Saccharomyces cerevisiae S288C: one gene and its partners. Changing the gene in region 3 together with the main gene of any one other region gives a genetic interaction. Each region holds a gene or a part of one and is shown on either strand. Other genes may lie near its edges. The genes, in order: CBT1, HRI1 and BEM3.

Region 1 (10,078 bases), on a different chromosome or scaffold from region 3:
CTGCTTGGCCTTGGCTAGGTGCCTTTCCTCAGTGAGATCCTTAACTAGAAATTCCTTCTTCGCAGCAAATGCATCGGAAGACAGGTTCCCACCGTTTCCAATCAATAATTGTGCCCATTGTAGATATTGCCATTCAGTTAACTTTACCCTTGGTTGTGCTTCATTTGCACTGCTTCCCGTTATAAGTGTCATGATGTACTGTTTGAGTACACCCGTCAAAACCATGACAATCGAAATAGGTAACAGGACCCAATACTTCAGCTGGTCATCTAATAACATCTGCGGCGCCCTAGCTTGTTGAATACTGCTTGTTGTTTTGTCTATTCTGTTGAAGAGAAGTTGTTGTAAATGCTGGTTAATCGTCATTCTTTAACATCACAATGCTTTATTATACCTCTTCGTTCTTAGTGAGATGGCGGAAGCCAGTGCTATAGTCACCAAATAATACGCATTATATATGGATATGTACAGTTCGCAGATCTTTATGGCATATTTATCGTTTACAACCGTCTTCTGGTGAATATGAGCCAGTTGTGACCCCCATGATCCGTGACGGAAGGTGAGGTAATTCGGTTCGTCGCCAATTGACTCAGTAAAAGCTTAACTTGCGACTTGATACGCGTGCTCTGATCCAACGGTTCATCCTTCTTGTTATTTCGTGCTATTTTTAACAGCTTCCAGTAGTTTAAATTGCGGTACATTCTCGAGGATTCTTCCAATAAAGGCTGGATATAAGAGACTGCTTCGCTCATTTCAGTGTCTTGATCACCACCGTTGCTTATCAGGGAACGTTTGCAGCCGAAATTTATATTTATACCAATGGTATGCAATTTCAATCTTACTGGAACGTTTGGCATGCTGTTGAATAAGATCAGTTGCGAGAGAGATGGGATGTCCTGAACTGTCTGAAACATGCACCTGTATTCATGTTCTGACTCGCTCGGATCAGTCAGGAAATCAAGTCCCAAACAGTGACCCAACGCTGAGTTTGTCAACTTCCTCTTCATAAAGACTGTCGGTAGTTTGTCGTTTATTGCTCCTTTAGATATGCCCTCTGTTATGAATTCCTTCCATAAAGAGGGGAGATTGTAGGAAGAATCGACAAGACTACCAGCGCCACTGTTTTCCCAGTCGTAAAGCACGAAGGTGTTGTATTCATTCAAGTATTCTTGATATTTGCTTTCACGTAGTTTGTAATTTATCTTCCGCTTTAGGGCAAAACGTTGTTTGCTGGATACATTTCCATACCTAAGCACAAACTTCGGCGTTTTAAGAACTTTCGAAACCTCACTACTATGACTTCCATAGCTCACCATTTTTTCCTTGCAATATTTCTCTCTCCTTTGTTTAATGCTTCTTTACCCAAAAGCGCAGTAAACTTCTGATCAATCAATAAGACGAAACTTGAGAAAACGAAAAATCGAAGAAATATTATATATAGATAGTTGTGGCTGAATAATATATATCTGTTCAAACGTTTTAACGCGCGATAGAAAAAAGATCTCGCTGCTAACTTTTTGAATAACCATTACTACTTTTCCAAGCTATAGGCAAATGGCACCTGCTTCATTTTTAAGGTCATTTTTGCTAAATGTATCATCTTCAAAATAGATAAATCTGTAAAGTATAGCGGAGCCACAAATTTAGCAGGTATAAAAATTACTCAGCCCTTTTGGCCAAGTGGTAAGGCATCGCACTCGTAATGCGGGGATCGTGGGTTCAATTCCCACAGAGGGCATTTGAAATTTTATTTTCTATTTTTTAATTTTTATATATAATATATATAACGCGACATAGCTGTTATTACCTACTAGTAATATCCTCTCTTTTTTCAAACAATGATGGTCCTTGCACTGACAAATATGTTCCTTTCCTTTTTCTTTTCTCTATTCTGCCACTATACAATTTATTGTTTTCCACAAAGGGTAAAGGTACTTTAAGAAAATAGTTTCTTATTTTTTTTGCCATGTAATTACCTAATAGGGAAATTTACACGCTGCTTCGCACATATACAATTGTTTCAGATATGAAAACTGTTGCATTATTGCCGTTCATCATTTAAATACCAGAGCTTATAAACCTGGATATGGCTGAACTATCTCCCGTTGTTACGTTCACACAGAGAGCTTTCAAGTGCCGCTGAAAATTCCACTAGGAAACAAAGAACAAGCTACGTCATGAACTTTTTAAGTTTTAAGACTACAAAACACTATCACATTTTCAGGTACGTGAACATACGGAATGACTACAGGCTGTTAATGATAATGATAATAGGTACCGTGGCAACAGGCCTAGTGCCGGCAATTACTTCTATCCTGACGGGCAGAGTGTTCGATCTACTATCAGTTTTCGTGGCTAATGGGTCACATCAAGGTTTGTATTCCCAACTAGTACAGAGGTCAATGGCAGTAATGGCACTTGGTGCGGCTTCTGTGCCAGTAATGTGGCTTTCTCTAACAAGTTGGATGCACATCGGCGAGAGACAAGGCTTTAGAATACGGTCACAGATATTGGAGGCATATTTGGAGGAAAAGCCAATGGAATGGTACGACAATAATGAAAAATTGTTAGGAGATTTTACTCAAATCAACAGATGTGTGGAAGAGCTAAGATCAAGCTCCGCAGAGGCATCAGCCATAACTTTCCAGAATTTAGTTGCAATATGTGCGCTTCTGGGGACGTCATTCTACTATTCTTGGTCATTAACTTTAATTATTCTTTGCAGCTCTCCAATAATCACATTTTTTGCAGTGGTGTTTTCCAGAATGATTCATGTATATTCAGAGAAGGAGAATTCTGAAACGAGTAAAGCAGCCCAATTACTTACATGGTCGATGAATGCCGCTCAATTAGTGAGATTATATTGTACACAACGTCTAGAAAGGAAAAAATTCAAGGAAATCATACTAAATTGTAACACTTTCTTCATCAAGAGTTGCTTTTTTGTTGCTGCAAACGCTGGGATCTTGAGATTTTTGACGTTGACTATGTTTGTACAGGGATTCTGGTTTGGTTCCGCAATGATCAAAAAGGGCAAGCTGAACATTAACGATGTAATCACTTGCTTCCATTCATGCATTATGCTGGGCTCGACTTTAAATAATACATTACACCAAATAGTTGTTCTTCAAAAAGGCGGAGTGGCTATGGAAAAAATCATGACTCTATTAAAAGATGGATCCAAGCGAAATCCTTTAAATAAAACTGTAGCCCACCAATTTCCACTAGATTATGCCACCAGTGATCTAACATTTGCTAATGTTTCGTTTTCTTATCCAAGCAGACCTTCGGAAGCAGTTTTAAAGAACGTTAGTTTAAATTTCTCTGCAGGACAATTTACTTTCATAGTAGGAAAATCAGGCTCAGGTAAATCTACATTATCCAACTTATTATTAAGGTTCTACGATGGCTATAATGGATCGATATCTATCAATGGCCACAATATCCAAACAATCGACCAAAAATTGCTAATTGAAAATATCACCGTCGTAGAACAGCGTTGTACCCTATTTAATGATACTCTTAGAAAAAATATTCTTTTAGGTTCAACAGATTCGGTAAGAAATGCCGATTGCAGCACCAATGAAAATAGACATTTAATCAAAGATGCCTGTCAAATGGCTCTTCTGGATAGATTTATTCTAGACCTTCCCGATGGACTGGAAACATTAATTGGGACTGGGGGTGTCACACTAAGTGGCGGGCAACAACAAAGAGTTGCTATAGCACGTGCATTCATCAGAGATACTCCAATATTATTCTTAGACGAAGCTGTATCGGCTCTAGATATTGTTCATCGCAACCTGTTGATGAAGGCAATTAGGCATTGGAGGAAAGGAAAGACTACAATCATATTGACGCATGAGTTGAGCCAAATTGAATCTGATGACTATTTATATTTAATGAAGGAAGGTGAAGTTGTTGAAAGCGGCACCCAGTCTGAACTTCTAGCCGATCCGACCACTACATTTAGCACATGGTATCACCTACAGAATGACTACTCTGATGCGAAAACTATTGTAGATACAGAGACTGAAGAAAAATCTATACACACTGTGGAAAGTTTTAACTCTCAATTGGAAACACCAAAACTTGGATCATGCTTAAGTAATCTGGGATATGATGAGACAGATCAGTTGTCCTTTTACGAAGCAATCTATCAAAAAAGATCGAACGTTAGAACAAGAAGGGTTAAAGTTGAAGAGGAAAATATTGGGTATGCACTAAAACAACAAAAGAACACCGAAAGTTCAACAGGGCCACAACTTCTGAGCATTATTCAGATTATCAAAAGAATGATTAAAAGCATAAGATACAAAAAAATTCTAATCTTGGGACTGCTATGTTCTCTTATCGCAGGCGCCACAAATCCCGTCTTTTCATACACATTCAGTTTCTTACTAGAAGGAATTGTCCCATCCACGGATGGAAAAACTGGCTCTTCACATTATTTGGCGAAATGGTCGCTTCTTGTTCTTGGTGTGGCTGCGGCAGATGGTATTTTCAATTTTGCTAAAGGATTCCTATTAGATTGCTGCAGTGAATACTGGGTTATGGATCTTAGAAATGAAGTTATGGAAAAACTGACGAGAAAGAATATGGACTGGTTTTCTGGTGAAAACAACAAGGCTTCTGAAATTTCTGCTCTAGTCTTGAATGATTTGCGAGATTTGAGGTCTTTGGTCTCTGAATTTTTGAGTGCAATGACTAGTTTCGTTACCGTATCAACGATTGGACTAATTTGGGCGTTAGTATCGGGCTGGAAGTTAAGTTTGGTTTGTATTTCGATGTTTCCACTCATAATTATATTTTCAGCAATATATGGAGGCATTTTACAAAAATGCGAAACAGATTATAAGACATCTGTTGCTCAGTTAGAAAACTGCCTGTACCAGATTGTCACTAACATTAAAACCATTAAGTGCTTACAAGCTGAATTTCATTTTCAATTGACCTACCATGACTTGAAGATAAAAATGCAACAAATTGCCTCCAAACGCGCCATTGCCACAGGATTTGGTATATCTATGACAAACATGATTGTCATGTGTATCCAAGCTATTATTTACTACTATGGCCTAAAGCTGGTTATGATTCACGAGTACACCTCAAAGGAAATGTTTACGACTTTCACTTTGTTATTATTCACTATTATGTCATGCACTAGCCTAGTAAGTCAGATACCCGATATAAGTAGAGGCCAACGTGCTGCCAGTTGGATCTATAGGATTCTTGATGAAAAGCATAATACCCTAGAGGTTGAAAACAATAATGCTAGAACAGTGGGAATAGCTGGTCACACCTACCATGGCAAAGAAAAAAAACCAATCGTTTCAATTCAAAATTTGACATTTGCCTATCCATCTGCACCTACCGCCTTTGTTTACAAAAACATGAATTTTGACATGTTTTGCGGACAGACGTTAGGTATCATTGGTGAATCAGGCACAGGAAAGTCTACACTTGTGCTTTTATTAACAAAACTTTATAATTGTGAAGTAGGCAAAATTAAAATAGACGGTACGGACGTAAATGACTGGAATTTGACAAGTTTAAGAAAAGAAATTTCAGTGGTTGAGCAAAAACCTTTATTATTCAATGGAACCATCAGAGATAACCTAACTTATGGTTTACAAGATGAAATACTTGAAATTGAAATGTATGATGCATTAAAATACGTAGGAATCCATGACTTTGTAATTTCATCACCTCAGGGCTTGGATACACGTATTGATACAACTTTACTGTCAGGTGGACAAGCGCAAAGGCTTTGCATAGCCAGAGCACTTCTGAGAAAATCAAAAATTCTGATTTTAGATGAGTGTACTTCAGCCTTGGATTCTGTCAGCTCCTCTATCATCAATGAGATCGTCAAAAAAGGTCCACCTGCTCTACTAACAATGGTTATAACGCATAGTGAACAAATGATGAGGTCTTGTAACTCGATTGCAGTTCTTAAAGATGGTAAAGTGGTTGAGCGAGGTAACTTCGACACTTTATATAATAATCGCGGGGAATTATTCCAAATTGTTTCCAACCAAAGCAGTTAAACCCAAAGAAAATATAAAACAAAAAACTAAAACATACTCAAATATTCGAGACTACATTAATAATAATAATAATAATAATAATAATAAGTTTTTACCAAAGAAAAAGTTGTCAAAAGTCATACATATATATATACATATTTAATGTATATATTTAATTTATTTTTTTATTTTGGTTAATTAGTTACTCATAGATGAATGGTAATGAAAGGAACTTCAACATCCTCTCCTTCCTTGTCATCTGCGCAAATTTCGAGAATCATTGTAGATACATGTGCCGGAATATCTTTCTTAGTCACTAATTTAACCAATTGAGTTATTGGTAGATTTAGTCTTTCTTTCAATTTCTTTGGAGGGAAAAATGAGGCATAAAGAAGAGAAACGCCATAAGAAAGCATTGTTATTTCTAACCCTTCATCTTTTTCAAAATGTTCAATTAAATCACTTAATTTAATATCTCCCTTGATATCAAATCTATCCCAAATTTTATCATATTTCTTGTTGTTATATTCTCCCTTTGGTGAAGCAATTGGTTCCGAAAAACCGAAAAATGGCAAAGCTAAATTAACAAAGCCATTCTTATATTGCTCAATATCTGTCTTGTTGTCAATCAGTTTATATAATTCCAAATTGACCAAACCAGTAACCAAAGAAGTGGTTGTTGCGATGGCAGGAATAATACGGCCAGCTATGAATTTGGTCTTTTGGCGATCAGCAGTTTCGATGAAGTAGTTTTGAGCTCTACAGTTAGAACAAGCCGTTATAAATTCAATATGATGATTAGTGTCATCGTCTTTCTCGAAATCTACAGGCTCCAGTTTAAAGCCAGCCAAAGTAGAAGGATCTGGTAGGGATGATACCAGCTGATCAATTTCATCTGAGCCATTAGCCGCGTTGGCATTTGGATCCGGATCATCGTCATTAACTTGAATTTTCAAATTGGCATTTGGAGTAAATTCTGGAATTATCATATGATCGATGACGGACTTATACTCGTCCACGTTGGGTTTAGAATTAGAGTCATCACTTTTAATACCATAATTATAAGCGCGTAAACTAGCACCTGCTACGACAAAATGGAAGTGATCGTTATTGTAAATATCAAACTCTAATGGTGTTGGAGCACGCTTAGCACCGGACCAAAATGGTTCACCGTTGGAAGTCTTGGCATCCTTGGGGAAGTTGAACAGTAACTGCTTGATATCATGGTTGAATTTTTTTTCAAATTCTAACCTTGCCCATTTGATACAATCTTCAAAATTGTGTGGTTTACTAGATAGAGAATCTGAGATGGATTCTAGAACTCCCTTGACATCCCCGCTTTGCTTTAGTGTTTGCTCAACGAAATTCGGTTGTGTCAAGTACATATTAACGTTTTCGGCGGAATCAGTGAAGTAACCTTGGAAAAGAGATTTGGCCCAGGCAATGGTGTGATCAATCTTGTTTGGGAAAGAACGTAGGGTACACAATGGGATAGACTTTTCTGGTGGGTCTCTAGAAGAAGAGTATGATTCAGTCAATCTTGGAATGATGACTTGAGTATTACCTTTAGTACCTAGGGTACCAGATTCTAACAGTGGTTTTCTATAAAACACACAACGGCGATCTACGTATGTTCTTGCGTCGACATTGTCTAGAGCGTTGGTGACAAAATCCAGGCTTTCCCAAAAGGAGTCATTAAATATTTCCTCAGTTTCTGGCCCCACTTTATCAATTTTAGCATTTATCTTGCCCTTCAAATCGGGGTTCATAGCACAAACGGCCTCTGCCGCTACTTCAGATTTGTTCTTTCCGACATCCTTTGGTCTAAACAAGAACTGACGGTTTAAGTTGGACTTTTCGATCGAATCGTTATCCGTAACAACGATGTAACCGTCGGAGCCAGAACCAAGCCCCAAAAGTGCCCAATTTTTCAACATCTCACAACCAATGGCACCAGATCCGACAAGAAAGACCTTTGAATTGGCAATCTTTTTCTGAAAATCCAAACCGAAAACCGCGATTTGATTATCGTAACGAGAGTTTACTGGCTGAGTAGTCTTCTCATTTCTTGGGAAGTTTTTAGGATCTGGCAATGATTCCAAGGAATCAAAGTACATAAATTGCTTTAGCGGAGTAAATTTACCAGAACATGCTTTTAACACTTCTTGTGCCACAAGGCCACCGAAAAATGCTACGACACCCGGTATGTCACCTCTTGCCTGATAGGAAAGCTCTTTGATTAAATCTTCATTAACATCTACACCTTCACCCAGAACCTCCGGTTGCTGAACGGACAAATCGGTGACCAACTTGATTAATTCATTGGCGTCTTCGTCATTCATTGTTCTTGGCAGTTCACCATTATGTCTAACGGCAAACTGATGTAAAGCCTGAAATCCCAAATGCAATTGAGCAGCTCTGTCAAATTTAGCAAAATCCGAAAAAACAAACTCAGGATTGGACAGTTGTTGTTTCAAAGACTTGAATGAGATTTTACGGGGTACTTTGACTTCGGTGAAGATACCGCCCTTCTTATACTCGCCATATTCTTTGACTGAACCAATTCTGAATGCAAAGGGCCCCAAAACCTCAACTTTAAAAAGGGTCCCATCATTCAACTTATCAAGACCTTCTACTTCGGAGAACCTGACAAAATTTCCGTCTTCCAACCCGTGTCTGTTATCATCTAGCATGGTCACTGTTCCATCGGGCTCGATGTCTGAAACCATACCAGTGCGAGGTTCTTCACCCGTTGGGTCCAACACTGTGAACTCGTCACCTAGGTCTACGAAGGTGTTACCAAACAGCCCTCTTGTCTCCGAGGAAATGAATCTAATACCGGAGGAATGGCAAAATTCGTTGATTTTCACCTTATCTTCCAAAGAAACAGTGTCCGTAGCGACAACGACCTGGAATTGACTCAATTGGGTAACATCGTCTAAGGAATCCAGCACATTAACCGGGACATATGCGTTCAACTCTGCCAATTTGGCTCTGGTCACATCTCCTCTCTTTTGACCAATATCCTTTTCGGTCAAAAAGAATTGGGTTGATAAGTCTGCCAATTGAACCGGCTCAGGGTCAAAAACGGTCATAGATTTGACACCTGCCAACACAACGTTCTTCGCTATCTCAACACCTAGCCCCTTCAAGCCGAGAATTAATACGTTGGAGGTTTGCATTTTCAACATTGCTTCCTTACCCAACACATAAAGTTGACGAGAATAAAGACTTTCATCGATTTCTCCGGCGGCAGAGAGACCACTATTATTGCTGCTCATAGCTATAGTTATATGTTCTTTGCTTTGCTACTAATCTTACTTTTTGTTTGCTTATATCCAGCGATTGGCGGTTGCTCATCCTACTTAAAGGCCCTTTTTGATCATTTTCTTTTACCTTTATTTGCCACCCGCACCTTTTGTCACACTACACGAGAATATGCCGCATGGAAGCGTAATGGCAATTCAAGAAAGAGCTCTAATATTATTTACAATCACATGAATACAAGATCATAGCTTAACAAGGAGTGGATAGTCAGTAAAGGCGCCCTAAGCTCTACTAAAAACTGGGCTTTAAAAGATGTTCCTCGTCACTTGAGAATCTGTTGTCCCTATCTGGTTCCTCATCATACAATCCACTCCATCGTTTCTCCCACCCTACTACAAACTAGTGAGGCGAACGAGAAAATAAGAAACACTAAGGCTCGCTTTTCCTGCTGGACAGAGACATGCATTAGTGTTTGTTGTTCTCGCGCCAGTCGCTGTTTTTGCTTGCAAGTGCGACGTCCTCTTCTTCTTCTTCTTCTTTCTTCTTTGAGATGCGTAACAACACAACTACATTTTGTATTTTCCTCCCTTTTATACTCCTCCGCTGGAGTATTTTTTCGTATTTTTCACTTTTTTTGCTTCTTATAGGCCTTTTTGAACTATTTTCTGTTAGGGCTTAAAGAAAGCGCAGCAAATGGCTGATTTTAAATGCTGTTTTCTCGAAAGCAATGCTGATGATGTACCACAAAGTAGTATTTGCGCTTAGCTTGTCGATATAAGTAT
Region 2 (10,314 bases), on a different chromosome or scaffold from region 3:
TGTCTATCAACTAATACTTATACTATCAATATATTATAATAGACGGCGTTAGATGATGACATAAGTTATGAGAAGATGTCATCGAGGTTAGAGGAAGCTGAAGTGCAAGGATTGATAATGTAGTAAGAATGTGAATATATCACATAGAATCACCAATTCCATTTTATGGATTCCTATACCACGAGGAGAACTAGTATGTCCTGGCTATCTAATATTATGGCCTCTAGCAGCAACGAAATGCCAACAATTAAATCCAAGTTCACCTATTCTGACTTTTATATTTAATAACTAACATTTTTATCAACGATGGAATTCCAACAGCTTTACTAATCTTTACTTGTAATTTGGCTTTTTAGATCTATAATATTTATTGTATGGAAAGTAGCATCCAACCAAATCCCGCGAAGTTTTCCTGATTTACATAACAAGCAAATACTAAAAACGTTAACACACATGTGCTTCTTTATTGTAAAGAAACCTCCATCATCCTCTTTTGTAACTTGGTCCTACAATAAATTTATCCAGTGTGACAGCTTTATAGGAGGCGTAAAGTAGTCTCATGAAGTAGATGAGTCTTGTTCACCATATTTTTCTTCTCGACTGCGAATTAACACTGTTCTTTGATGTTAGAACAATTTAGGTTCAAAGTACGAGTCACGACATGTAACAAGGGAAAAAAAGGATATTCATTTCAATAAAGTTCGTTTTATAAAAGTATAGTACTTGTGAGAGAAAGTAGGTTTATACATAATTTTACAACTCATTACGCACACTCATGGTTTTTGGCCAGCGAAAACAGTTTCAAAAGATTGCTGGAAGTCTGCAATAATGTCATCAATAAATTCGATACCAACAGAGACACGAATTAAGTCCTTGGTAACACCAGATGCCAACTTTTCTTTGTCATTTAATTGTTTGTGGGTAGTGAAGTATGGAGCAATGACTAAGGTCTTGGCATCACCAACATTGGCCAAGTTAGAGGCAAGCTTTAAATTGTCAACAACTTGAGCACCAGAAAGTTTGAATGGGTCAGTTTCCTTGTCGGCATTTGGTAAGTCTTTTACACCGAAAGATAAGACACCACCGAAACCGTTAGATAGATACTTCTTAGCATTTTCATGATGAGAATGAGATGCTAAACCAGGGTATGAAACCCAAGATACGTATGGGGATTGTTCTAACCATTTGGCTAACTTCAATGCATTTTCACCGTGTCTTTCAGCTCTCAAAGATAATGTTTCAACACCTTGTAGTAGCAAGAAAGAGGCAAATGGGTTCATCAATGGACCCAAATCTCTTAATAGTTCAGTTCTAACATGAACGATGTATGCCAAGTTACCGTAGGCTTCATTGTAGATAGTACCGTGATATCCTTCGGCAGGTTGAGAGAATTGAGGGAACTTTTCTGGGTAGTCCTTCCATGGGAACTTACCAGAGTCAACAATAATACCACCGATAGTAGTACCATGACCACCAATCCATTTGGTAGCAGAATGTGTTACAATATCAGCACCGTATTTAATTGGCTGACAGAAGTAACCACCGGCACCAAATGTGTTGTCAACGACAACTGGAATACCGTGTTTGTGAGCAATTGCAACAATTTTTTCAAAATCCGGAACATTGTACTTTGGATTACCAATGGTTTCCAAATAAACAGCCTTGGTTCTTTCATCAAAGACCTTTTCGAATTCTTCTGGATTGTCACCTTCAACAAATCTAGCCTCGATACCAAATCTTTTGAACGAGATTTTGAACTGGTTATAAGTACCACCGTATAAGTAAGAAGTGGAAACGATGTTGTCACCAGTGTGTGCCAAACCTTGGATGGCAAGGGTTTGAGCGGCTTGACCGGAGGAAACAGCCAAAGCAGCAGCACCACCTTCTAAAGCAGCAATTCTTTCTTCCAAAACATTACTGGTTGGGTTTTGGAAACGGGAATAGACGTAACCTGGAACTTCTAGACCAAACAATTGCGAACCATGCTTAGAGTTTTCGAAAACATAAGAAGTGGTGGCGTAAATTGGTACAGCTCTGGATCTGTGAGCATTGTCACCAGGGTTCTCTTGGCCGGCGTGTAGTTGAACAGTATCGAAATGAGATGGCATTGTATGGATGGGGGTAATAGAATTGTATCTATGTATCTGACGACCCTGTATTACACGAAGGAAATAGTAGATGAAAAGACAAGAGAGCAAGAAAAAGGAAAAACTTCCTTTCTAACAGACGCTTTACTTAACCTTATATATATCTTATTTTTTTCATCGAGCGTGTTCAATTGGACAAGGTGCCACCTTTTCGACACTTCGGTTATTATGTTACACAGTTTTCATGAGGATGGCGCCTTGACTAACTTAATTAGTCATTTGCCAACCACCACAGTTCCCCAATATCGACAGCTTCACGTGCCATTTGCCATTTTGCGATCATGTGACCTCAAGAGAAAAAGCAAAAAATAATGAGAGCTAAGGGATTCGAACCCTTGCATCCGAAGATATCAGAGATTTTAGAGGTTAAATCCACCTAAATCTGACGCCTTAAACCACTCGGCCAAACTCCCATTGTATGTTGGAAGAATTGGATTTAAATGTCTATTATAGCATTAAATATCTTTAAATACATTCAAGAAATGGCGAAATTATTTCTTAGTGTTGGAATAAAAATCAACTATCATCTACTAACTAGTATTTACGTTACTAGTATATTATCATATACGGTGTTAGAAGATGACGCAAATGATGAGAAATAGTCATCTAAATTAGTGGAAGCTGAAACGCAAGGATTGATAATGTAATAGGATCAATGAATATTAACATATAAAACGATGATAATAATATTTATAGAATTGTGTAGAATTGCAGATTCCCTTTTATGGATTCCTAAATCCTCGAGGAGAACTTCTAGTATATTCTACATACCTAATATTATTGCCTTATTAAAAATGGAATCCCAACAATTATCTCAAAATTCACCAAATTTTCACTTAGGTATTTTCTTTTATAAAGTCTATCGTTATAAAAATACTATATAGATCCCATAGGTGCTTATTATAGCAGCAGAAGAAAGTAGAAAACGATTTATTCTCCTTTATTAAGCGTGATATTCAATAACTTCCCAGTTCAACCCATTGCTGGTTACAGTGGAACCTTTCTTCAAATTTTCGTAGCTTTGTGGAATTTTGTTTACTTCCTTACCGTAGCTTAATAAGAACTCAGATTTACCTGAATCTTTTTCAAGTAATCTGATGAAGTTCAAGCCTTCAATAGTGTTATTATTCTTTTGGGACAAAAACCCTTGAATCCATCTACCAATAACAATAACCAAACCATCATAAGCTTCGTCAGTAACTTTGAGGACAATTGACCTAGCATTCGACGAGAACTTCTCATTGTTTGGTGAGACGATGACTAGATCTTCTCTTGATGGGTCAACTGGTTGCCACAATTCTCTGAAAGAGACGCTTTCTTTGTCGGCACCGAATGGGTAAACAGCGCCTGTTTCCTCGACACAACCAGAATCCCAATTTTTCCAAGTGGTGTTCACTTCGCCACGATGGGTGTTTGGAACGTTCAAGTACACATTTGTATCCAACCAGAAATTGAAATCTTGAGTAACGACACCGTTTCCTTGATCATTAGCTTTAACTGTTTCGTTTGTACCGGCAAAGGCCCATTCGAAAGGAAAAGATAACTCATCACCGCTTGGCTTAACAAATGGTCTCAAGGAAATATAGTGCCCATCAGTTGAAACAGAGGATAAGGTGAATGTTCTTTCGTTTGGATGAGGACCCACTTGAAACAATAATCTTTTTAATAATGCTGGCATTGTAACTTAATTTTTTGTTTGTTGTTGTTTAAGTTCTTTTATCCTTCCTTAGATAACACCTTAAAGCTCCAGTTACAACAGCGGTGAGAATTGACTTTATATTCGGGGCACTTCCGGTTGTTTTACGAACATGTGATTCGGAAATTTTATGCAAGACGACACGGAACGGAACGTATGCCGGCGGAAAAGCTCACGTGTGAAGAAGAAAACAAAAAGAGTAAGCTGGATTTTCTTTTTCGGAGATTCTGTAGAATTTTTTTATTAGTGCAATGAGGTAAAAAGGAAACTAATATTAAATTCTGAAGGTTATGTTACATAGTTTTTATTATTATTATCGTATATTCTATAAGTGTACCATATAAAATAATGTCTTTACTTAGACTTAAGTGAGAGATCTCTGTAAAATGTTGGATAAAAAAGAGATAATGAACTAAAAGGGGTAGATAAATTAACGTTCTGTTAAGTTTTGCTGATGAAAAATAACATTAGAAAATTCAGCTAAAATGAGCGGACTGAGGGCGACTTAGTTAGAAATTGTGCCACATTGGTTTGGATACTTTCTGTCAGTCAATGGTTGAGGGAATAAACCATTGAACATCAATCTTTGAGCATCCCATTCCAAACTAGATTCTGTCTTGTAACACCAGATAATCCAACCCCCTCTCATTTCAAAGGCATCTAGTTGTGCCTCCACATAACGTCTTGTGTTTTCCTTTCTTTCGTCAGACCAGTAAGCTATATCATCGTTGTTAGCACAAGAGCCAATGTAAGAAGATGTTTGGTCACCATTGACCCAAGAACCGTCGTATCTAGCGCCGAAGCCAACACTATTCAACCATTTTGTACAATCAGTCAAAGCGGCAGCAAACTCACCACAAACAGTCCAGTGGGATTCATTCAAAACTCCGGTACCCCATTCACAAGCTACTTTAATATGTTCATCAATGGATCTTTCCAATTGATCAGAAGCAAAGACTTGGTAGTGATGATGGTCGATAGTGACACCCCAGTAGCCATCGTTTTCAGTCATGAAGTCATCCCAATAATTGTATGGTTGGAAAGCGTCATGGATGATGATAACTTGGTCACTCTTGATGTTGTTTCTCAAGTATTCGTAAGCAGGTGCCAAGTAGTCATTCTTCATTTTATCCATGTCTAGAACAGGACCCAATGGCTCATTAATCAATTCGATACCAATAACAGTGTCCAAGTATTCCTCCGCAGAGTATTTTTTCAATATGTAGTTCAAGACATTTGTAGTAACGGCCAAATTGCTGTCTTCCAAAAACTTGTATGAATCTCTCAAACCAGAGTTATCAAACCCGTTCTGCGAACCAGCGGCACCATGCAAATCAACCCAAACTTTCAAGCTGTTGTTTCTAGCCCAACCGATGGCTTGGTCTAGGTAAGATTCCTGTAGGCCGCTAACATAAGGATCATCGTCCAAAGTTTGGAAAGCCCAGTAACCGATAGGAATTCTGACAAGGTTGAAACCTTGGGAAGCAATATTAGCGAAATCTTGTTCTTGGTAGAAAGTAGACCAATGGCTCTGTAAACGGCTTTTAGCCAAATCCTTACCTAAATATTGACAGAAGTGATATTCGTCGACAGGAATTCCTTCGTCGTTGTCATCATTTGTACGGAAAGCCTCGAACAAAGATGGAGTAATGTATGGTTCAAGAAGTAACCAACCACCAATGTTGACACCACGGATTGGTTCTCCGAGGGAACCGTGGTCATAATCGTAGTATCTTTTCTTGTTCTCCTCATGAACAAATTGAATGGAAGAAGGGTCTCTTGCAGGGACTGGGGTAGCGAGTACTGATGACACAGTCAACAACGTACACAGTAACGTTTTAAGCGAAAGCATTTTAGTTGGTAATTAACTAGAAAAAGAAAGTAAACAAAAAATCAAAGGCACGTGTTATTCAAAACTTTTGGGTCCTCTCGTAAACTTTAGTTTTCTATAGTTATTTTTGACTTAGTCAATACATAATAAAAATTACTAAGAAAAGGGAGGGAGTATTTAAAACGTCTGCAAAAACATTACTTTTTCCCAAAAATCCATCCAACTTATATACATTTTTTATCATCCACGCCTTTTTATTTAAAGTGCCTTTCTCTGCAACTGCTCATATGACGATATGAGATGGCAAGTTCAAGTTTGTTACACCGCTTATTGATGTGCACACAGGTACGGAACACGCTAAAATTATAACGGCGTGCTCGAGAGAAAAACCCAACAGGGTTGGTCTGGGCATCTCCAGCAAGCCACGGTTTTAAATTGACAGTGCTTCACACTGCGGTGTTGTCTGGGGCGCCTCTGTATTTGCGGCAACGCGCCTGGTTACGGGCTTGTCTCAGGCTCGTGTGCACCGCACTGTAAACACAGGGAGGATGACTGGGTCAGGTCCCCACGGTTTATTTATAGTAAACAACAATGCGCGTATGTGTGCGTATTAATGCTATAAAAAGAAACGCGCAGTATCAAGCCATCAGATTTTTTTAATAATGGTAAATACGTATGCTGGCATCGTTCCGAAGTCGCGTCTCGGCTGCAAGGTAGGGAAACTTACTGAAAAAGGCAAAGCTCGCATGATCTGGATTTTTTGTTTTGTTTTAAGGGCGTATGCCCTTTGTTAATGAAAAGTAAATATTGATTCTTTAAAAATAAACGCAAGCCCAGTATTTATTTATATACCACAGAAGCAGGCTCCCTACATTACGTACTATTATCTTGAACTATATTACAGTACCATTCTTACCCCACATCTTAGTATACGGAGGAGATTCCTCTTTTTCTCCAATAGTCACTCACCGCATGCCATTCTCCCCTGACATTGCGTATAGCATTAACTACGCTCTTGGGAAATACTTCTTTCATCGTATATCCCATTTCCTTGAGAGTGCTTAGTACGGCTTTACCGATCATGGGGAAGCTTTCCAGTTCTATGCGGTCGGGCAGTAACTGGTGGTGTATACGTGGATAGGCTATCGTTTCCAATATAGGCATGTTATACCAGTACGTCCTCACAATTGTTTGTAAAACACTCGTAGTGATTCTTGAGCCGCCGGAAGCGCCGACCACGAGGTCTGGGATGCCTAATTCTGACAGCACAATAGTGGGTGCAGTGGATGATAGGGGTCTTTTCCCGGGCTCGGGAAAGTTGTATATGGAGGGTGCCAATTCAAAACTATTAGATTTGTTGAATTGAGCGAAATCGTCCATTTCATTATTGAAGATCACCCCGGTTTTTGGGTCGTGTACTAAGGAACCGAACAACAAGTTGATGGTGGTTGTCAAGGAAACAGCATTCCCATGTGAATCTACTATACTGAAGTGGGCAGTTCCATGCGGGTTATTGATATCGTATGCCGGATCATAAAGCGTCCAGTTTTCTAAAGTTTTAAAATTTCCGTCTTGAGAGTTTCTTTTGATTGATTTCACTGCTTTCAAAGCCCATTCTGGATCCAATACCTCTTCTATATGCTTAGGTAATGCTTCGCCTTCAAAATCGCCTAACCTGCTTCTTGCGCTTGCCATCCATTTCATGCTTTCAAGCAAATGATAGGTAGTTTCTTTTTCATAATCGCCCCCTTCTTGATTCTGGAAATTATCCATTATCCTTAACGCCGCAAGTAGTGCAGCCCCGGAACTTGAGCCGCTACTTGTTAATACGGTCATATCGTTATCAGGGATGAAATTGGCGCCCTTCCTAATTTTCATGGACAGTGGTTTAGTAACATGAACATCATACGATGAAACATCCTGCAAGTTCATTATTCCATTGTATTTTGCGACAGTATCAATCATGGATTTTGCAATCCAGTGATCGGGGTCATAAAATGGGGCCACGGAACCATTTTTAGCCAGTTCCATTAGCATGTTAGATAGTGCCGGCCTCTTGATCCAATCGCCTTCTTTCAAAACACCGTCATGGGTAGAATTCAATACAAACGACCAATCTTCCTTCAATGTCAGGAAAACATCCTCATAAAGTTCTAAAGTGGCACCGAGTGCTTCGCCTATTTGCCAACCCACGCTTCCCAGCTTTGCGACTGGTTCAATTAGATCACGCCAATCAACTTGGCCGCTACCTCTTTCTTTAAAGAGGCGATAGAGACCCATCAATTCACCTGGAACACCGACAGCAAGACCCCCTATTTTTGAGCATAGAGAGCAGTTTTCGAACATGAACTTATGTGAATCCATGGGTGCTTTTTCTCTAAAATCAATGGATAGATGATCTTCATCGTCTTTGCCAGAAAAAACTACGTAGCCACCACCTCCAATCCCACTATTAAAAAAATTCACCATACCCTTACAAAGAGCTTGTGTTACTGCAGCGTCTGCAGCGTTAGAACCGGGAAATTTCAGGAGTACCTCATTTATAGTCAAATTACTACAGACTTCTAAATCTGAACTTATAGCACCATGCAAACCGACTTTTAGAAGTTGCCTATCAGGCGTTAAACTAGGACGGCGAGGTAAAGGGTCAATATCGATGTTATGGTGATCCTTATCGCCGCCATCATCATCGTCGTCTTTTTTCAAATATTCTGCAATAATGTCAACATCTCGATTGGCAGACCCTCGAAGGAGATTATTTATTCTCTGCAAAGTCTCCTGAGAGGCGAATGATACCATTTTTGACGGCATTCCGGACACTAACACACCCAGTGTTAACAGAGTGAATATATGCAGTATAAAACAGGTATTTAAAGTCTTGGGGACTTTTCTATTACACAACAGCATAACTGTAAGTCTAGTACGCTACTTTTTGTCTTGTCTTTTTGTGTGCCTGACAACGCCCCACTTGAATCTGCGTTAGCTTTTTATTCTATTATTTAAGATAACTGTGCAACAGGAAGTCACGATCGAACTTTACGGAAGAATTATAATATTGAGAAGTGCTAGTACACACAGGCGCACACACACATATATATATGTATCTATATACGTGTATGTAGATTTGGAAGTCGAATAGATAAATGCCGTTATGTTCCCTCAGAGAAAATTGATAAGCGGGCAAAAGGCGGCACTAAGACGTTCGAAGGGGCGGATCTTTTCTTTTGATCAACAACAGGCACAGCCGCTGAGTAATATAGTTATGATTTTTCTAATCTCATGTAGGTAATAAAATCTTAAAAGTTATTTTTATTTTCACTCTTTTATATGTGAATAGAGACACTTGTATAGAGATAATAAACGGTTCAAACTCTTTTCACTTTCATATGTTCCACACAGTACCTTATCATTGAACACTAGATTTCCGCAAGTGTCAAGGTACATAGGCGGGTAAGCGTTAAGGATAACAGAAAATATTCTTGCTATACTGAAGATATAATATGAGCTCCTAGTGTAGGCGATGAAGGTGCTCAAGTAACGGAGAGGAAAGAGATAGGCAATGACGAGATACTATTGTGAATACTGTCATTCGTATTTGACCCATGACACGTTGAGCGTTCGTAAATCGCACTTGGTCGGTAAGAATCACCTTCGTATAACAGCTGACTATTATAGGAACAAAGCAAGAGACATTATTAATAAACATAATCATAAAAGACGCCACATTGGAAAAAGAGGCAGGAAAGAAAGAGAAAACAGTAGTCAAAATGAGACGCTAAAAGTTACATGCCTTTCAAATAAGGAGAAAAGACACATCATGCATGTGAAGAAAATGAACCAAAAAGAACTGGCACAAACCTCAATAGATACCTTGAAATTGTTATACGATGGCTCACCAGGATATTCCAAAGTATTTGTGGATGCTAACAGGTTTGATATAGGAGATTTGGTTAAAGCCAGCAAATTACCCCAAAGAGCCAATGAAAAATCTGCACACCATTCCTTCAAGCAAACTTCAAGATCCAGAGATGAGACGTGCGAGAGCAATCCATTTCCTAGGTTGAATAACCCAAAGAAGCTAGAACCCCCAAAGATATTATCACAATGGAGTAACACCATTCCAAAAACTTCTATATTTTACAGTGTAGATATACTGCAAACCACGATCAAGGAGTCCAAGAAGCGGATGCATTCCGACGGCATACGGAAACCGTCGAGTGCCAACGGATATAAAAGGAGGCGGTATGGAAATTAACGCTATCAGATTAGATTATTAAATATTATATGTAGACTATATTTTGCCAAAAAAAACAATAGAGATATCAACAACGAATGAAAATGGTATGATGAGAATAAAAAAAAAGGAAATAAAAAAAGGAAAATTAAAAAATTGAGATTAGTTGAATTGAAAAAGGAAAAAAAATGTTTGGTATGCGATAATTAATTGAATGTGCACGATCGTTACTATCATGAGAATTAAAATTTAAAATGTCCAACTTTCGGGCGTGAAGAGCGGTGCCATCTATTATATCTATTTTTATTTCATGCTTTTTCAGCAAGTGCTTGCTTTTCTTCATCGTTGGACTGTAGTTTCTTATCATTACTGCTGCCTGAACGGAGAGATATGAATATCATGCCAA
Region 3 (10,807 bases):
TCATAAGAATATGGGCAGAAGAAGTTATCAGGCTGGGACGAGCAATGATACCGGAATTCGATGATATCATTTTTAAAGACGCAGTTAACAGCGCACCTTCTAATTCTCTACTAAAGGCTACTGTCGAACCAGCATCCACGTCGACAATTGCTCAAAGAATAATCAGATCTCATAGAAGCAACGCTTCCCCAGAAAAAGAACTTCATGAAAACAAGCCGAGAAGCACGGAAAAACAGGAACAAAGGGAAATTAGAAGCGATACCAAGGTCAAGCAGCTCTCGTCAAATAATAGAGCAGCTGAAACCCAAATTCCGTTTTTGCAACAAGAATTTTCCAGTGAGGATGAAGATGAAGAATACGTTTACGATGAAGAATTGAACAAAACTTTCAATCGCACGGTGGAGGATATTACCATTGATGATATTTCTAGACATTTGGAGACCTTAGAAATTGAAAAAAAAGGTGATGAAGATTCAGACCATGAGCTAAAAGAAAAAAATTGGAAAAACTCGCACCAACGCCGTCTACAAGGTAATGGAATGTATAAAATTCCCTCCAATACGAAACCGCATCGCATAAGACAGCCTCAAAACGCAAATACACCAACTTATGACGATAGTGATATATCAATGATTTCTCATGTTTCAAGAAAACATACAACAAGAAGTGGTGGAAGATGGTGATACCAATGCATATATAATGTTGTCTTGAACCCACTAAAGAAGTGACGCATATATTACTTTTTTGTATTTAGTAACACAATTTTTCTATTTTTATATTTCCTTGTATAGTTAGTAATTTTAATTTTTTTCCTTCTTTATCTCAGCTCTTCGACCATTTGGTCAAGAAGTTAGTTTTTTTCTCTTATTTTATTTGACAATATACTAATTTTATTATATGGTATTGTAAATAACATTTGAGGAATAAAAAGACAGTCACTCTATAAGCTTTATCAGCCTGACATTTTTTTATTATTACAAATATATCGTTGAAAGAAAGAAGCCTCTATACATCTCGCCCTCTTTCTATCATTAAATCAATGGAGGTTTACTGGCAACGTTATATTTCTACAATTTTAGACCATCAAACCTGAGGAATATGTATATCTACTTTCTCCCTTTCCTCTTCTTTAACTGGTTCACCACCCTGAAATATACACGCAAAGTCAGTGATGAATGGTTGAAGCATACTAATTGGAATATTTAGAGTTGGGGAAAACACGATGCATAAATTTCTTAGATTCATCTTATTAAACTTACTATTCTCATTGATCCTTACCAGCAGTTCAAAAAGAGCATACATCAACGATAGGTTAGCGTGAGGAACTAGGCCAGATTCAATAAGTTCCTTAAACCCCAATGATATTTGAACAGGATTATTATGATTTTCATCAACTACTCTTTTAAACGACAAAAATTGTTCGTCACCAAATAATAAATGGGGCAACTTTCTCAAGTACAACTTTAGTAACCCACTTACAGTATTCACACCAATGTAAAGACTTGGAGATGCCTCATCATCTTTAGCTTCAATACTTTCATTGTACCGACATAAATCTACATCGTACTCTTTATCAAACCTTTCTTGTAAAGTTTTGATAACTGTACTGGACCCGCTTAGTCTAAATATGCCTTCTTCCTGGATACCACGGTTTTTGTAAAGATACTCTAAGCAACGATAAACTACACTCGGTAAATCGTAAACGTTTTGGTACTTATGCGAACTCAATCTTAAACACGTTTCTAGTGACGAGCCAAATATTGCAGTGGACACATGTGGACCCGTAGAAGAATTTGACGAAGAGGATACTTCCATTAATTTTTTGCTTGGTGACTTAATGATAGAGTCAGGAGATGTTGGAGAATCCGAATCATTTGAAATTGTAATACCTATATGGTTCATTGCACTCGCCGGGCCGGTTAATTTTTTAAAAGGGAATAAACTTCTCATTTTGGCTCTCCTACTATCCTTCTCCTCCTCTGCATTCCCGCTTGAACTTGCTAGGAAGTTAGAGTGAGAAGATGGGTTTGAGTCAATACCATCGCTATTAGCAATGTTATTGCTACTATTACTAATATTGTTATTATTATTATATTCTTGGGTCAAATCAGTGACATATGATGGAGTATCGGTTGCTGAGATAGTTGCGTTTCCAAATTTAGAATGGTGTGTTCCTGCGCTCAAGTGAGATGCAGAATCAGTATCGTTTGCATTCCTCGAGCTAGATAACGATAAACTTTGTGAAGGATCAATGTAATCACTAAACGCAGAAAGCCATAATTCACGTTCCTTCGACGTTTCAGTACAAATATAATACTTTGTTGAGGTTGACAGTCCGCTTTTCTTATGCTCAGTGATCAAAAACCCATTTCTCGTTCCAAATCTATCTTCAGGGAGATTGGGTATAAGTTCTATAGAAGATTGTCTCAATTTAATAGTTTCAGTCAACTGATTTTTGTCAAACAATTGTAAAACATCATCGCGCAAAATACCGTACCGAACTCTCCATGTACTATTACCTGTTAGAGTCTTTGGTCTTCTCAGCAAAAGTGATCCGTCTTTCACATTATCATCCATCATTGGAGGTGTCATTACTGTATCTGTACTAATAAATTGGGCGATTTTTAAACCAACATTTTTGGGAAATTCAGGGACACTGAATATGCTTGTATAATACTGATTCAATATGTTCTTTCGCGTATCCACTTTTGTAGGTGATAAAGTCTGAAATAATTGTCTATCAGGTAACGTGGGCAATGGTAAATCGGGAACATGTGATTTCATATATACATCTAATTCGCGAACTTTATGAATAGATTTTGAAAATTTAAACATCTCCTTACCGGATTTCCTGTCTATGATTGCAATTAAAATGGATAAATCATCTTCATTATCCCTGTACAATGTGCTCAGTACTTCAATCTGGATAGTGCCAAAATCCTCCGGTTGAACGAATAATGGAATATCCGACTTAAGACTTTGGGCCACAGACTTCACGGTGCTCACGCTACTTGCATGAGGTCTTCTAAGTGTCTTCAACGAACCTTGGGGTGTTGAGCTAAATGTATTCAAGGTATTGGTTGAATGGATGGATGCCGTTTCTCCAAGTTGTTTTTGTTTTGATGAACTTTCCACGGGAGGATTTGGAGGAAGAGAAGCATTTTGACTTGTTGTTGACAATTTTGTAGAAAGATTGGGGAGTGATGAAGTTAACACAGGTTTCTTTAAATTTTTTGCACTTTGAGCACCAAAATTATCATCCTTTTTATTCAAGATAACCGGAGAAGCCAAATGGCTTGATAAAGGAGTAGAGTTTTTTATATTTCCACTAGAAGTAGGTGAGAAAAAAGTTGGAGGCGCTGGAGGTGGGGGTAAAGATTCGTTAATCGTGGATTTTATGGACAGAGGATCTTTACTGTCCGTATTGACTAGATCCTCTTCGCCAAATGAGGAGTCAAGTAATTGGGTGAAGTCGTCAAGTTTTTCTTTAGATGCTGGAGAGAAACCCAAAGCCTTGTTTTCACCCTCCTTGACTTCCAAAAGGGATGATGGACTTTTGGCTGCTGAAGTAGGAGTTCCAGTAGTGTATGCAGAGGATGTTATAGAAGAATAAACGCGGTCATTTTTTTGTATCGCGTCATTAGTTAGTTGTTGACTTTTACTTTCAGTCAGCTCATCTAAATTATTAGAGGTACTGGCCTTTAATGGAGAATGCAAATGGTTGTTGATAACAGCCGTCATTCTGTTAGGATTTTGAGGGGAACGCAAACGTTCTTGCAATGGAGATTTCGAACCTTTATTAGGTGATTTTATGGTTATCCTAGACGTCGTATAGGTAACAGAGGCAGCTGGGCTAGCCAACTGTTCTGAATGTATTTTTGTAGGGCTTGAGACAGATCTATTGATAATTTTGGGAGATGAGAAGCTACTATTTGCTTCTATTTCATCGTTTAGTATCATGTTCTGTAAATGCTTCCTACTTATTGAAGTATTTGATGTAACACCTATTTGAGGTACTGTAGGCGTTACACTTGTTTCAAGTGCAACGTCTGAACCTTGTTGCAATGGAGGGGACAATGTCGGTATTGGCAAATTAAGACTCTTGATATGCGCTTTCCTTTCAGCAGATCTTGGGGGTAACACAAATGATTGATCGTTAACGTATGAATCTCTTGAGTCATTTTGAACTTGCTCAAGCACAACTTCTAAGGAAGCTTCTCTGTTTTTTTGTAACATATCAATAACCTTTTCCAAACTCTCAATTTCAGTTTCATATTCTTGGACTTGTAGCTTTAGCTTAATGTTTTCCGTAAAAATTTCATCATAGGACGGATTTCTTTCTTTTCCTGAACATGTTCCTTTTTCTATATGTTCTATAGATTTGTCCTTTTTGGATCTATGATCATTGTACTGCGCCAACAATTCAAGGGTGGTACTACCACCATGAGTTGTGGTCAAATTATCTGTCATTGCGTGCTGTTAGTTGAGTGTGAGTTTATTCTAGAATATACACACAGATACTCCTAGCAGCCAGTGTTTCAACAAACGTGATGTTGTATATGCCTGATGTAATCACGAACTCGAACAAAAGGCAAAATGGTAGAAGGCAAGGACAAAGAAGAAAAGAGAAAAAACTTCCAGATACAAAGCTAACACACAAAGGTAAACGGTGATTAAAATGGATATATCGTTGATGTATTTAACAATCTTGAAAAATTCCGTTTAAAAAACATACCAATACGCGCAATAAAAACGGTTCTTATCTGGTACTTTACCTAGTCAGACGATTATTGTTCTTTATAAAACGGCCGCGTTTTTTTTCCAACATCACCGCCGCCATATAACTTTCGACATTCTTAGAGTTGTGGTATAAAGAGCAATGCATATACGTATGTAATCCTAATTGAAATGCTATCTTTGTAACATAATGAATGGTTCAGTTGAGCACATACTTACCATCACCTCCCTCGACAAATATGTCCTGCACATTCTCGAGTGTGATGAGTGTCTGCTTTATGACCATGTCGGCAACTGTGCTGCCGATATGTGGCAAAGCTGTAACATCCCATCTGCGAAGTAACTCTTGCTTAACGCGTGTTTCCTCATTTTTAAACACATCGAGACCACAGCTTGCCACTTTTCCAGATTCAAGAGCGTCTAGTAGCACATCTTCATCTATGCATGTGCCTCTCCCAACGTTAACTATCCTGACACCATCTTTACACCAGGCCAAACTTTTACGATTGATAATATTGTTTGTAGAGGCCGTACTGGGCAAGGCCAAAATGATCAAATCCGCATTCTTCCAAGTATTTGGATCATCTAGATCAGAATGGTACTTAGCGTTGTAATCAAGTAGACTCTTTTGGACGGGACCGGTCCTTTTGTAGTATTCAATGCTCATGTTGAACACTTTGTGCAAGTTAGACCCTATATTTTGTCCGATGGAGCCAAACCCCAATATTAGAACTTTTTTATTCATTGGAGATTCCATTTTTTTCCCGCCAACCGTGTACTTTTCTGCTAAATGTACCACTTTCCTATCCTTGTTAGGCTTGCATTTGTCTGTTCGAGAGGGAAATTTCATTTCCTGACCGTGGTAACTATCTGTAACAATTTCATACGAGTCACTAGAGATATATTTCTTACACTGTTCAACATTACCATTTTCCACGTATTTAAAACAATATTCCCAAAATGAAGTCATTCTAAAGCAGCTAATTGCTAGGAAAATAGCCAATTCTGTGACATGGTCAGCAGCATGTGGTCCAATGTTGCATAAAGTGATACCTTTCGATCTTAATAACTTACCGTCAATAAAGTCACAGCCGACCCATGGTACAAGGATTACTTTTAAAGATGCGGGGAAGAATTCAATATAACTCGAAGGGTTTCCTAACACAGTGAAAAACTCCTCAGTGAGCCAAAAGCCGTTTATTCTATGAGTTTCCAAAAATTTAACAAAATCATCCTTTGTGGACATCTCATATTTATAGAATTCTACCCTTTCTGCCAGTTTGCGATATTCAGGAAGATGACTGGCGACTTCCCATTGGGTTTTATAAGGCACCAAAATTCTTGGTTTGGCAGAATAAGTTACATCTGCTATGTCAATTGAAGTAATCATTGTTATTTAAAGGTTGCTACTTTTGTACACTCAAGTATTTTTCTGTATTTGAGAGAGAGCTATTTGTACTCCACACTCCACCTTTTAGATCTGCGTCAAAGTGTCAGAATAAACATACCGTAAAACGGAATGACTACCGCCACCCCAATGACATAAAAACGGAAGAAAAAGAGCAAAAACCGAGCGCCAAACTATCTTATTCAACGAATCAAATAACAATACAAATGCAGAGGTAAAACATTATTCGCCACATATATATGTACATATCTATATGTATACATATTTTTATATATCAATCTTTTGAAGAGCAAAGTGACCTCTTTGTTGTTATCCAAAGTTTAACCAGTCCAGTTAAGCCGGATCCCAGGGACAGAACGGCATACGTTCCCTTTGGAGTTTTTAAATTTAGAATATCTGATGTATTAGCCATGCAATCAAACGATAATCTTGCAATATCTAAATAAACAAGTGTCTTTTCATCCTTGATGGCCTTTAGTTGTTTGTGTATTAACACCTCTGCGTCGTTATTAACATTTAGGTCATTTAACAACTGTTTCCTAATTGGCGATTGTGAGCCATCGTCTTTATGGGCCTGATGCATCAGTATGGGTGAGAGTAGTAACGCGTTATTTTGAACTTTTAGTTGCACTTCCAATTCTAATTGTCTCTTCTGTAAGCTTTGCAGGTTGAGCCAATGGTCCTTCAAGCTTAAAAGAATGTCGTATTGCCATGCAAGAGACTCTTGTCTACTGACAAAGGAATAGAATGATTTATTTGTCCATATTTTCAATTTGTATAGCAAGTCTAATTCATCAAAGATACCATAATACAAGTCCAAAAATTCTCTCAATGAAGCTTCATTAAACCATATTTTCTTAATTTGGTCAATTTGAAAGTTGCACTTTCTGGTTTTATTGAATTTCCCCAAGAAACTGCACACTCGGAATGGTGTGCCGCCAAACCTTAAAATATATCTAAAAGTACTTAATTGTTGACTGATAAAATCAATTTTCTTGTCAAAATTTCTCAAAAGAGACAGGAGAAGTACTTTAATTACCGTGATTGGATGCCTTAGTGCGACTTTTACAGTCAGATTTTTCAAAATCTTGGTATAGTACGTTAATACGGAAGGGTCCAAAACAGTTAAATTTCGCTTAGACTTTTCGATAAACAGTTTTAATATATCCAGAGCGTATTTGATAATTTTGGCTAATTTGTCTCTACCAGATAGAGAATCCAATATATATTTTAAGATGGTAATATTATCCACCATCTTTGTTTTTGCTTGAGAATCCTCATCATCACTTCTCGAGGATTCAGTATGCGACTCGCTTCCACTGCCTGCACTGAACTTCTCTGCACCGGCGTCTGATGAATGTGGATGGGTATTGTCATCCTGGGCGTCCTGGTAACTTGCCCCAGAATAAGGTGGTGTTTCTGAACCGGAAACGATATCTGTCGTGCCAAACTGACTCATTGTTTTACGACCAGTTTCTATAGGTGAAGACTTACAGGGAAGTTGAGGATATCGACTCTATTTGTTACTTTCTCCAGCATACAAATTACCGATGATTCTGAGAAGAAAGAAGAAAAACGTATTTCAAAAATTATATAACCTGAAATAATAAGCCCAATCCCACCGGAATTTCATATACTATCACCGACCTGGAAAAAAAATGAAGAGTAAAAAGAAAAAAATAAATTTAGCGCCGCTCGGTTTCGATCCGAGGACATCAGGGTTATGAGCCCTGCGCGCTTCCACTGCGCCACGGCGCTGCTAAATCATGTGAGTTTAGCGCGTACCGAGCAAATTCACCAAAATATTTACATCCAATTTGCTCCCCTCACTCTTCCCCGATGTCGGTTGTGATTACTGCTACGCATGGCGACTCTTAATTTCTTTCAGGTATAGTAACATTTACTCCTTTAAGTAATTGTCTATTTTTCCTCGACACTGTATGTAGTTACCTTTCAAGGAAGCTATTCCAATACCATCGTGAGAAAAACTCTATTGGATACTTCATCTAGCTCGTATATATGCTTTTTAAACTTTATACCAAACCGTGTAGGCAAAACTGGACCGCCCGGTAAGTTCTGCTATTAACAAATTAAATAAAATTGGCCAAACTGAGGATTGACAGTTCTGAATATCCAAGATTACTGACTTCAATTTTCTCACTTCTCATCATAATATTCCGCTGATTTTTACATACCGTATATCCAATTTACGGCCCTTCACATATAGCGGCGAAATGATGGTAAAGCTACGCATACTGTCTGACAGGACCCTATTCTAGCAACCTTACATGAAACAAAAACAAACAACATCACATCATACGGATGAACTACGGGTGCAATCCCTGACTCATCAATGTTTATCATAAACTTAGATATCAACACTGATAAACCCCACCTCTATTTTTACTGGTTCTTCACTTTTTCGATGCCGCACCGTCGCCCGCGATCCCCGCCCTTTGATTGCTCCTTCCATTAACAGTTTTTTTCTATCCCTTACAAGAAGCCGAGACGCCGCGAAAATATCGGCTAGTGCGAATAGTCTCTAGCTCTTGCCCTTCGCAAAGCACCGTGCTGCTAATGGCAATCAACAGCGCATCGCCGCTCGCTGAATTTTTCACTTAGCGGTAGCCGCCGAGGGGTCTAAAGAGTATATAAGCAGAGCTTGCGGCCCACTTTCTATCAAGATCTAAGACTGTTTCTCTTCTCTTGGTCTGTATATGTTTTCTCAAAGTTAGCAGAAACAACAACAACAACTATATCAATAACAATAACTACTATCAAGATGGAAACAGGACCTCATTACAACTACTACAAAAATCGCGAATTGTCCATCGTTCTGGCTCCATTCAGCGGCGGTCAGGGTAAGCTTGGTGTCGAGAAGGGCCCTAAATACATGCTTAAGCATGGTCTGCAAACAAGCATAGAGGATTTGGGCTGGTCTACGGAATTAGAGCCCTCAATGGACGAGGCCCAATTTGTGGGAAAGTTGAAAATGGAGAAGGACTCCACAACTGGGGGTTCCTCTGTTATGATAGACGGTGTCAAGGCTAAAAGAGCAGATTTGGTTGGTGAAGCCACCAAGTTGGTGTACAACTCCGTGTCGAAAGTGGTCCAGGCGAACAGATTCCCCTTGACCTTGGGTGGTGATCATTCAATAGCCATTGGTACTGTATCCGCGGTTTTGGACAAATACCCCGATGCTGGTCTTTTATGGATAGACGCCCACGCTGATATAAACACCATAGAAAGCACCCCCTCTGGAAACTTGCACGGCTGTCCCGTGTCATTCCTAATGGGTTTGAACAAGGATGTCCCACATTGTCCCGAGTCGCTCAAATGGGTTCCAGGCAACTTGAGCCCAAAAAAGATCGCGTATATTGGGTTGAGAGATGTTGATGCCGGAGAAAAGAAAATCTTGAAAGATCTGGGTATCGCCGCCTTTTCCATGTACCACGTTGACAAATACGGCATCAACGCTGTCATTGAAATGGCAATGAAAGCCGTGCACCCAGAAACAAACGGTGAAGGTCCCATTATGTGCTCCTATGACGTCGATGGTGTAGACCCATTATACATTCCTGCTACAGGTACTCCAGTGAGAGGTGGGTTGACCTTGAGAGAAGGTCTTTTCTTGGTGGAAAGATTGGCCGAATCCGGTAATTTAATTGCGCTAGACGTTGTTGAATGTAACCCTGATCTGGCTATTCATGATATCCATGTTTCAAACACCATCTCTGCAGGTTGCGCCATTGCAAGGTGTGCATTGGGTGAAACCTTATTGTAGTTTATATCATCATCCCTTTTATCAAAATAAGCATTCTCTTTTTATTTTAGTTAAGCACATGCATACATAAATTTACGAACAAAAAAAGAAAATAAATTAAAAATAAAAGTAGTGTATCTTCGTTACTTTTCATTCTTTTTGGTTAACCCACGTCTAATTGCCAATACACTATCGACGATCACGGCATCTACACCTGCTTCAATTTGTATACTGGCATTTTCGGGATCATTGTTGTCCACACCGTAAGTGACACATACCAGCCCATTAGACTTAACCACTTGCACCAACCGTGGGGCCTTTAAAATGGGTGCTGCAGCAGATACAATCCCCAATAAATTCCACTTCTTAGCAAATCTTATACCGTTTTGTAACGATGAGGCTCTCAAATCGGCCATCTGTTCACTTCCACCTTCCGTCAGGAACAAGATCGGAATAACCGGTTGCTTTAACGAAAGCATGATGCAAATATCCGGATGAAATGACGAAAAAATGATGTCCCTACCATTCGCATTGTCAAAAACTACTTTTAACACGGTGTCAACCCAATGGTTCATTTCCATCATTATTTGCCCTAACTCTTCCTCTTCTGCCTCATCAAGCATGGGAAACTTACATTCTATGTTAAACCCAACGTTGGCAGGGATTTTCTTGAATAGTTCTTTCAAGGTAACAAATGATGAAGCTATTGAATGTCCTCTAGCGTTTCCCTTAAAATTGTTCTTTTTAAATGTTTTGGTTAGCCTCATTCGATTGTCAGACCAATGAGCATTGTTGGACTTCCCATTCGGGTCGTTGTCGTGTAAATCCCAAGCTCTCCTCAATGTACTAACGTCTGAATCATCTACCGAACGCCCTCTATATTTTTGTAGTGCTGTATC

The links.
Region 1: mutations in BEM3 (region 3) and CBT1 together harm fitness more than expected from each alone (negative genetic interaction), as found in Saccharomyces cerevisiae (2 studies listed by BioGRID).
Region 2: mutations in BEM3 (region 3) and HRI1 together harm fitness more than expected from each alone (negative genetic interaction), as found in Saccharomyces cerevisiae (2 studies listed by BioGRID).

What each region holds. Positions count from the first base shown.
Region 1 is NC_001143.9:38,395-48,472, reverse strand, and holds CBT1 (Cbt1p), read right to left. Parts: upstream 1,317-10,078; coding exon 501-1,316; downstream 1-500. Other genes in the region: ER membrane complex subunit EMC3, read right to left, coding at 1-279; ATP-binding cassette a-factor transporter STE6, read left to right, coding at 2,178-6,050; E1 ubiquitin-activating protein UBA1, read right to left, coding at 6,236-9,310. UniProt on the Saccharomyces cerevisiae protein: Involved in 5'-end processing of mitochondrial COB, 15S rRNA, and RPM1 transcript. May also have a role in 3'-end processing of the COB pre-mRNA.
Region 2 is NC_001144.5:724,336-734,649, reverse strand, and holds HRI1 (Hri1p), read right to left. Parts: upstream 3,826-10,314; coding exon 3,091-3,825; downstream 1-3,090. Other genes in the region: bifunctional cysteine synthase/O-acetylhomoserine aminocarboxypropyltransferase MET17, read right to left, coding at 774-2,108; YLR302C (uncharacterized protein), read left to right, coding at 2,097-2,459; EXG1 (glucan 1,3-beta-glucosidase), read right to left, coding at 4,349-5,695; ECM38 (gamma-glutamyltransferase), read right to left, coding at 6,599-8,581; YHC1 (Yhc1p), read left to right, coding at 9,234-9,929; YLR297W (uncharacterized protein), read right to left, coding at 10,217-10,314. UniProt on the Saccharomyces cerevisiae protein: Unknown. Non essential.
Region 3 is NC_001148.4:331,017-341,823, forward strand, and holds BEM3 (GTPase-activating protein BEM3), read right to left. Parts: upstream 4,471-10,807; coding exon 1,084-4,470; downstream 1-1,083. Other genes in the region: HOS3 (histone deacetylase), read left to right, coding at 1-683; YPL113C (glyoxylate reductase), read right to left, coding at 4,937-6,127; PEX25 (Pex25p), read right to left, coding at 6,420-7,604; CAR1 (arginase), read left to right, coding at 8,928-9,929; GDE1 (glycerophosphocholine phosphodiesterase), read right to left, coding at 10,052-10,807. UniProt on the Saccharomyces cerevisiae protein: GTPase-activating protein (GAP) for CDC42 and less efficiently for RHO1. Negative regulator of the pheromone-response pathway through the STE20 protein kinase.